Linked DNA regions of Canis lupus familiaris. The protein of the gene in region 1 purifies or fractionates together with the protein of each later gene. This does not show direct contact. Links are inferred from orthologs where the notes say so. Each region holds a gene or a part of one and is shown on either strand. Other genes may lie near its edges. The genes, in order: LURAP1 and CDC42BPB.

The links.
Region 2: the proteins of LURAP1 (region 1) and CDC42BPB purify together in Homo sapiens (co-immunoprecipitation; 3 studies listed by BioGRID and IntAct, with this or other methods). This does not show direct contact. The link is inferred for Canis lupus familiaris from reciprocal best matches to the Homo sapiens genes LURAP1 and CDC42BPB.

Annotation. Positions count from the first base shown.
Region 1 is NC_049236.1:14,262,203-14,266,455, reverse strand, and holds the start of LURAP1 (leucine rich adaptor protein 1), read left to right. Parts: upstream 1-1,291; 5' UTR 1,292-1,401; coding exon 1,402-1,599; intron 1,600-4,253. UniProt on the Homo sapiens protein: Acts as an activator of the canonical NF-kappa-B pathway and drive the production of pro-inflammatory cytokines. Promotes the antigen (Ag)-presenting and priming function of dendritic cells via the canonical NF-kappa-B pathway.
Region 2 is NC_049229.1:71,317,983-71,322,404, forward strand, and holds the start of CDC42BPB (serine/threonine-protein kinase MRCK beta), read right to left. Parts: upstream 2,985-4,422; 5' UTR 2,916-2,984; coding exon 2,741-2,915; intron 1-2,740. UniProt on the Homo sapiens protein: Serine/threonine-protein kinase which is an important downstream effector of CDC42 and plays a role in the regulation of cytoskeleton reorganization and cell migration. Regulates actin cytoskeletal reorganization via phosphorylation of PPP1R12C and MYL9/MLC2.

The DNA.
Region 1 (4,253 bases):
CCTCTGGGAGTGGGGCTAGAGGTGGGAAAGGAAAGAGCTGGTTAACTATCTTTGCATTGTAAATCCTTCTGTGACCATGCGCTGGAATTACTTGGATTAAACACCCAAATCAAGCCAAAACAAAAAAGTTTTTTGTGGTTCCCCATGGCCTATAAAATACAACCCAAGCACCATAGAACCATCTTCTATAGCCACATTACTCCAAGTGTGGTCCCTCGATCAGCAACATGGCCGTCACCTAGGAGCTTATTAGAAAAGAAGAACCGCAGGCCCCATCCCAGATCTACAGAATCACAATCTGCATTTTAACAAGGCTTGCAGAAAATTCAAATGCAGTCAAGCTTAAGAAGCATCAGTCTAAAAAAAAAAGGCATCAGTCTACAGGATCAAGCATGATCTGGCCGATCTGGACTTTTTTATCTTCAATACTAGTTGCTTCTCATTGGCCAGAAGTGTTATTTTCTACTTCTTTAATCTAAACTCAGTGGCAGGGCACCCAGCTGGCTTAGTCAGAAGAGCATGTAACTCTTGGTCTCTGGGTCTGCGTTCCAACTCTACATTGGGCATAGAGATTACATTTTTTTTTTAAGATTTTATTTATTTATTTATTTGAGAGAGGGAGAGAGATTTTATTTATTTATTTATTTGAGAGAGGGAGAGGGAGAAGCAGACTCCCTCCTGAGCAGGGAGCCTGATGCAGGGTTCCTTCCATCCCTGGACCCTGGGATCATGACCTGAGCTGAAGGCAGACACTTAACCCACGGAGCTACCCAGGTGCCCTAGAGATTACTTTAGATTAAATGAATAAATAAACTTAAAAAAAATAAATTCCGTGGCTACACTGAAAGTGCATGTGGGTGTCAGTAGCTAGCTAGATTCTAACCACTGTTCTAGACCCAACCCTCCCAACCCTCCCACCCCACCCCAGGAAGCCTTTCAAAACCCTCTGCAGTTCTGGGTCACCACTGTTCCTTAAACTCCCCTATGGCTGAGGGTGCTTAGGCTTTGTTCAGCAAACACTTATCGAACGCCTGCTGTATGCCTGCTGTATGCCGGGCCGGATTCAGTCGGCAGAATGGGGAGAAGGCACTGAACTCTGCTAGCGCTCCTTCAAGTACAAATCCAAGTACATACAGATCGCCCAGCCCCACCCATTCCAGGGCCAGACGTGTGCGCGCAGCACTCGAACACACACACGCACAGGCACAGACACGCACGCACGCCGGCACAGTCTGCGCGGCTTTTCTGAGAGTTACGGTGCCCTCCGCCCGCCCCCGCGCGGCGCGGGCGGGGACCCACCCGTTCCGCTGGGCGCCGGCAGCCGGGAGTCGAGGACCCCCGCGACCCAGCCCCAGCCGGCCGGCCGGCCGGCCGCCCGGTCCTCTTCAGCCGTAGGCCCGCATGGAGGGGACTGCGGAGTCCCAGACGCCTGACCTGCGAGATGTGGAGGGCAAGGTGGGCAGGAAGACCCCCGAAGGGCTGCTCCGCGGGCTGCGAGGCGAAGGGGAGCCGGGAACCTCTGGCGCCCCGCTGCTCCCGGGGGCGCCTGGCGCGGGCCACGGCCTGGGGGACAAGATCATGGCGCTGAGGATGGAGCTGGTGAGTGTGGGCTGCGGGGGCCGGGGCCGGAGTCCCCAGCCGGGTTGGAAGGGACAGACTTATGCCCCCAGAGTTGGGCTGGAGAGGCGAGAGTTAAGACTCCTTACCTAACTCCTCGGGATCCCTCCCAGATCAATCCTTAAACCCCGGGGTTCATTAATTGCCCCTCCCAAAGGTGAGTGGGGCGTTGATGGGTCCTGAAGACTTGAGGTGGGAGGCACTGGCTCCTGGAAGTTTTTCCTACCAAATAATTGGGAGGGGAGAGGTGAGGCTGGGAAGCACTGAGAACCTAGCAGAGCCCAAATCTCTCCCCTCCCCACCCCACCCCTCCACCAGGGGCCATCTCTCCCCTGGCCTCCATTATGGGGCAACCAGTTTCTTCTTTTGGTGCAAACTGGGCCCAGAGTTTGCTCATCTGAGGCCTCAGTGTTCATGACAAGATTCAGCTTGGAAGAGATCTGGGTGAAAACTGCCTGGACTAGAGCCACAAAAAAAACATCCTCCCTTTCCCCAAACCCCCCTCCCCAACCCCCACTTAAAGTACTTGGAAGTTCCTAGAACCCCGGGCATCAGAGTAATAGCACCATCAGCATTGGCTTCATCGCCTCTGAGCCCCCCAGGTATACTGGATTTTTGTATCTCGTACCTTCTTGGGGAGAAGAGAAGGAAACAGGCACCCTCCCCCTCCTTTGTTGCTGCTAGTCTAGATTCAGAGCCAGAAGGGCATTTGGGGCTGCCCAGGCTCCCCAAGGCCCTGGTTCCAGTGAAGGGGGTAATTTACACCTGCCACCACTCTGCAGCCAGTTCTGGGGAACTGAAGAATTCTCTCTGGCTCAGAACCAGGAGGCCACAGTGAGTGTGTCAGCTAATAGGTCTTTCTGGAGCCCACCATCTGCCTAGCTGGGCTGTGAGAGAGCAGAGGAGGGCATGGGGGCTCTTAGGCTGAGACCGGAGCCTTCTGAGCAGAGCAATCAGGGAAGGCTCCTTGGGGGAAGGATTTAAATGCCAAGTGTGTGCTTGGCCCTGAAGGTTGGAGGTAAATACCAAATTCTTCAGAGCAGGCCTGTGACTGCCCACCTGAGGGAGGGGCTTGACTTTGCTTCATCGTATAAAGTGGTGCCAGGCATCATGCTGAGCACTTGACAAAATATTCTCTTACTCCTCACAGCAACCCTATTAGGCAAGTGATATTTTATAGATAAAGAAACTGAGGCACCGAGAGGTTAAGTAACTGCCCAAGGTCGTACAAAAAGTAAAAAGCAGAGCCAGCCTTTGAACTCAGACCATCTGCCTGCACTTTACATCTTTACCATTGAGATCTGCTTTGTGCCACTTTAAAGACTTTAAAGACGCTTTATGTCATTGAAGTGGGAAAAGCAGTCATCGTTCCCCCATCGCGTAGATGAGGCAGGCTTGCCGGTGTTAAGGGGCTCGCCTGGCCTCACACAGGGAACCAGTGGAGGAGCCCTGCCTCTTCTTTGGTTCTGATTCTTTTGCCTTTGATGGAGATTACCTGTCTGTAAACTTTAAAGGGGGTACATTTAACTTCTGATTAGGTCTCTGCATTCTCGACCTAGCCTGGCCTGGGACTCTAGGCTGCCCATGAAGGAGGGGGCCTGCTGGGGGCCAGAACAGGGAAAGGCTCCCTCCCTTATTCCTTTCTCCTTCCTTGGCCAAGATGTCATTGATGTCATTGTGTACTCAGCCCTGCCCACTGTGGGGGCTGGGCAGAGGGTTTCAGTGGCAGAACTGTTCCAAGCTCTCTGAACACAGTCCTTCCAACTGTCCCTCTCCCAGCAATCATGCAGGGAGTGGGCAGTCATGCTCCTAAGGCCAAGGTTATTCCTGCCTCTAGGCTCCTTTTCCTCTTGCTTCCCTCCCCCTCTCCCAGGTTCAGTGAACCAGCCAGACTCTGGGGTTGGTGGGAAGGGAAACAATGGCAACCTCCCCTACTTAATCCTCCTACTCAAACAACTGTTGCTGCGACAACCCACCCTCACAGGGCAACCTGAAAAAAAGCTTTAGGCAAGGAGGGGGATGTCCTGGGTTCAAGTCCTGACTCAGCTTCTGAATTATTTAGAGGTCTTTTTTTTTTTTTTTTTTTTAATTTATTTATGATAGTCACACACAGAGAGAGAGGCAGAGACACAGGCAGAGGGAGAAGCAGGCTCCATGCACCGGAGCCCGACGTGGGATTCAATCCCAGGTCTCCAGGATCGCGCCCTGGGCCAAAGGCAGGCACCAAACCGCTGCGCCACCCAGGGTTCCCCATTTTGAGGTCTTGAGTAGAGCCCTGACTTTCTGTTGATCTCAGTTTTCCTGATTCTTGGAGGATGAAGGGACAGGGGCTTGTGGGACCAGATAGTCCTAGTAACGTTAGTCTGAGAATCTCAATCCTTGGCCAGGGAGCTGAGCCTGGAATCTCCTGGCTTTACCCCAGGGCCTGATTTGGATTGAGCAAGGAGGAAGCCATACTCGTGACCCTGGGACTGAGCAGAGTCTGATGGGGGAGGTGTTAAGAGGGGTAGTGGGGGACCTGAATCTCCTCAGGGAAAAGAACTGGGTTGGAGTGGCCTTTGAGTCTGCCTCTCTCCTGAGGTGCTTATCCCTTCTGTTTCCAAAGAGATGGTATGGAATGAGTGTTTCTTTTTCTG
Region 2 (4,422 bases), on another chromosome or scaffold:
AATAAGATGAAGGCAACAAAGAAGGAGGCAAACCATGAGAGTCTCAATCATAGGAAACAAACTGAGGGTTGCTGGAAGGGTAGGGAGTAGAGGGAAGGGGTAAGAGGGTGATGGGCATGAAGGTCATATGATGTGATGAGTACTGGGTATTATATGCAACTGCTGAATCACGAAATTCTACCTCTGAAAATAATTTTAAAATTAATTATCATGTTGTTATAATAAATTTTAAAAAGTAAAAAAAAAACTTAAAAACTTTATTACCTATACTTTCCAAATTGTCTCAAAGATTCCTCAGTAAGTCTCAAAATCTGAACCGAATAGGTTATATTTCTCCATCAAGCTTCAAGATTTCTACCTAATTGTCATTAGACACCTAGTGTCTAATGGAAAGTGGGGAGAAGTTGGCCCTCTGTAAGACAGAACTCCACATTTTGGAGGTTTCAAACACCATGCAGAGTGTGAATCCAAAATTCAGCAACCCCTAGGCTGATAGCTTGTATCTTCTTTTCCAGAGCAGAAGTAATTCCACATGGAAGTCAGGGCACCTGACAATGCTCCACAATTCCACTTGACAGACCACTCTTCACCTTCTGGTTGTAACATGTAGCCATTCTAAGTAATAATAAATAATGACTGTACACATATCTTCATTAGTAACACACCCCTTGCAGAGTTATAATGGTATACATTAAATACTACTTCATATTTTATTAGTAGTATTTAGAAGTAGCATTAATATTTCATTAAAATGCCACTTTAAATCTTGATCCATTTTTCTTCCCTGCAATTTAAGGTTTACATGTCTATGCATATTGAATTGTTAGGCCAATGTAATTCATCTGTGATAATTTTCAAAAAAACAGAATACAATTTCAAAAGTATTTCTAAATTATAGCACACAGCTTCTGTTTCAATTTGGAAAGGTCAAATCTCATACAATAAGAACTCCGCACATGCTGAGAAGAGCTGGCTCCAGTGAAGCCAGCCAGTTCACAGCGTGGCTGGTCCGGTCGGGTGGTTAAGGGGCTACATAAGAACCACCCATGTACAAGGTGTCCAGCTCTGACTTCACCCCAGAGGCCAGCCAGTTGGAGCACACCTCGCCACTCCAACAACCCTCCCTCCACTTCACCTTTCCATCACACTGCTATGCACGCACATAGCGTGCACCAAGTTGAACCTGATTGTGGAACTGTCTGGATTTCGACAGCAACTGCTAAGAAGAGGCAAATACAATATTCAGAAGGTTCAGATGCAACAAGCACCAAAGACCTCATTTTCAAAGCAACTATGAAAATGAGTTATTTGGCTGAAAATCACATCACTGATAAAAGATCCCAGAAAGTGAACACTCGTTTTACTGATATTGTTTATATATAGCCAAGAGCAGTGGTCTCCATTGAAATAAAGCATGATGGGGCTGTCCTGGGGCTCTGGGACTCCTTTCTACTGCGGTTCTCACAAAACATCATTTCGCTAAAAAGCAAAAACAAACCCTGTAAAGAATACCTCAACTTAAATTTTAATTAGTAAACAAATCCTCAAATTCCAGTTACCATTTTGGCAGAGTAAGAGGCCTCACTTCAGAATACATTTGTTTCTTCATTGTAAATATCACCTTTATCAGCCCCAAAGAGCAGAAATTACTGGTTCAAACTGCACAGTCCCAGCCCAATGACGCAAGTGACTCAAGGATAGGTTTGGCCTGAACAGAAGACTCCATGTGCCTACTAGGTCCTTACAGGTGAGCCTGAGGATCTTGACAGGATGCCCATGTTAGTTAGAGATGAAGCGAAAGGCTTTCACTTTGCACCTGTAGCGTCTTCGAGACTCTAAGGATCATAAAATGGCTTAATCAAACTTTTGTCCTAATAAAGCAAAATAGGTTGGCTGATCAATGATTACAGCGCTACGGATCCTTGGACAAACTAGGGAAGGCATGCAAAGATCAGATGAACGAAGTTTTTCAACGATTCCTGTATACTGTCAGTTCCAGCTGCCCCCAAACGTATTCCAAGTCTAGTGCGATTACAATGAAAAGAATCGATCTGCTCTTGCAAAATAAGGCTGTTAACCTGAAAACTCCCTTGGAGCTGCTACGGTAAAGGGTGTTCAAGCCCTGGACATTAACGGGATGGAGCAGGCTGTCACCTAGGAAGGGCCGATAGAACTGGGCTCCCCGGAAACGCACACGCAGATGGGGGGGCCCCACGGGGAGGTGGACACGCGGATGTAAAAATCGCACGCGGCTGCCTCCACCCGCCAGCAAGGCGTGTGCGGGGGCGTGGGGGGGGGGGCTCGACGCTGACTCTGGACCCCAGAGCCGGGGCGGGGGTGGGGGCGGATTTCCCGGGGAGTGCTGCAGGAAATGATATCCAGACTCGGAGGGTGGATCTAGGAAGCGGCCCGGGCGCTGGCCGGCGGCGGGGAGCGAGTGGGGGTGGGAACGGAGGATGTGGCTCCCAGGGGCAGGATGAGGGGGCGGGCCGGCCGAGCGCGGATGCGCCAGGGCCAAGGAGGAGGGCAGGGAGGGACCCCGAGCCTCCAAGGGACGAGGGCGCGAGGAGCGGCCCGGCGGGGCGCGGAGGGGCGGGGAGGGGCGGGGAGGGGAGGGGGCGGCGGTGTGGGGTGCCGGCGAGGCAGGAGGCGCGGAAGGCGGAGAGCGGGCCGGGGAGAGGGCCGAGGGCCGAGGGCGGAGGGCCGGGGGCCGGGGGGCAGGCGGGCCGCGCGCACTTACCCCACTCGAGGAACTCGGCCACATACTTGTCGCGCCGCAGGGCCGAGTGGCTGCACTCGGTGTACAGGCAGACGAGCACGTCGAGCAGCGTCTCCACGCTCAGGGCGCTCTCGTTGCGCCAGGGCCCGTCCAGGAGCAGCTGCTCCAGCTTCTTGAGCCGCACCTTGGCCGACATGGTGCCGCGCGGCCCGCTCCCAACGCGCCGGACTCTCGCCGCCCGCTCGGCCAGGCCGTCAGGGCGAGCCCTCGGGGGCCCGGCGGCCGCGAGCCCCAGCAGCTGCGGCGCCTCGTCGCCGCCCCGTCCGCGTCGTCGCGCCCCGGCCTAGGCCGACATCTTGGGCTCGGTCCCGGCGGCGCAGCGTCTGGGGCGCCGGGCCCCGCGGGTCCATGGGCCGGTCTCCTCCCCTCGGCGCCGCCGCCCGCCCCGCCCGGCGCAGCCCGCCCTCGCCTCGCCTCGCCTCGCCTCGCCTCGCGCCGCCGCCCGCCGCGCGCCCTTCAGCCCCGCCCGCGGCCGCGCCCTCCCCGCCTTCACCGCCCGCCGCGGACCTGGAGCGGCGCGGAGCCGAGCGCAGCGCAAGCCCGGCCGGCGCCCGAGCCCCGACCCCAGCCCCGACCCGGCGGCCCAGCCCCGCGGCCCGCAGCCAACCAGGGCGCGGCCAGCGCGGGCGCAGCCAACCACGGCGGGGCCGGCCGCCGTCGCGCTGACCTCAGCGCGGCGCCCCGCCCCCTGCGCTCCCGGCTCCCGGCTCCCGGCGGGACGGGACCTCGCCGCTTGCCGTAGGGCGTCCGGGATGCTGGGAAGGCCAGGAGAAGGGGGCGGGGCGAGCGCGCGGCCAGTGCGCCGCCGAGATTGCGCGCCCGCGCCTGCGCAAAGGACGCCCGGGCGGCGTGCGCCCGCGCTGCGCGGACAAGCCCCGGGGGTGCGGGCCCCGCGTGGGCGCACGCGCACCCGCGGGGGAGCCCGAGGGACCCGCGGCGGCTCGCGGTGGGGGGCTTCGGCGGCGTGACCCGCTGGCCTAAACGCAGGGCGCGTCCGAGCTCGTAGCAGCCTTGGGAAGCGGAGGCCGACTGGGCGCAGCCCGCTGCAGAGCGGCGACCCACGGGCCGCCCGGCCCCTCGTGAATTCGAGGTGCCCCCCCACCCCCGCGGCTTCTTCAGGTTCCGCTGTGGGTGGGCCTTTGGTAGGCTGTGTCCAGGCCGGGTCTGCCTGGAGATCCCACTGCTTCAGGGAGATTGTTGGTTTATGGGGGGCGGGGGGAGGATGGAGAGCACCCTCACCCAAACAGACCCTCGGAGAGCAGGGCCCGCCCGCACCTCGTGGGTGTCACTGAGCCCACGGGGGTGGCTGGGAGCTGGGAGGGAGGGTGCAGGGCCGTGGGAAGCCTGACCCCGGGGAGGGGCGGGGGCAGAGCAGGTAGACGGTGGAAGACGGGCTCCCTGGCTGCTGCAAGTGTTGTATCATTTTATCAGGTGGTAGCTTTGCAGGAGTGCGTGTAAGCAGCGTTCTTCAAACTACTCCCCTAGGAACATTGTGTATGTTGACCAGACCCGTCTGCAACACGGATCTCTACATCTGTATTTTAATCAAGCTGAACTCTGAATGTTTGTGCACTTTGTATGTAGGATGCCTCAGCTTTAAAAGAGAAGAGGTGGCACTGAGCAGCCCACCTGGCTCAAAACCT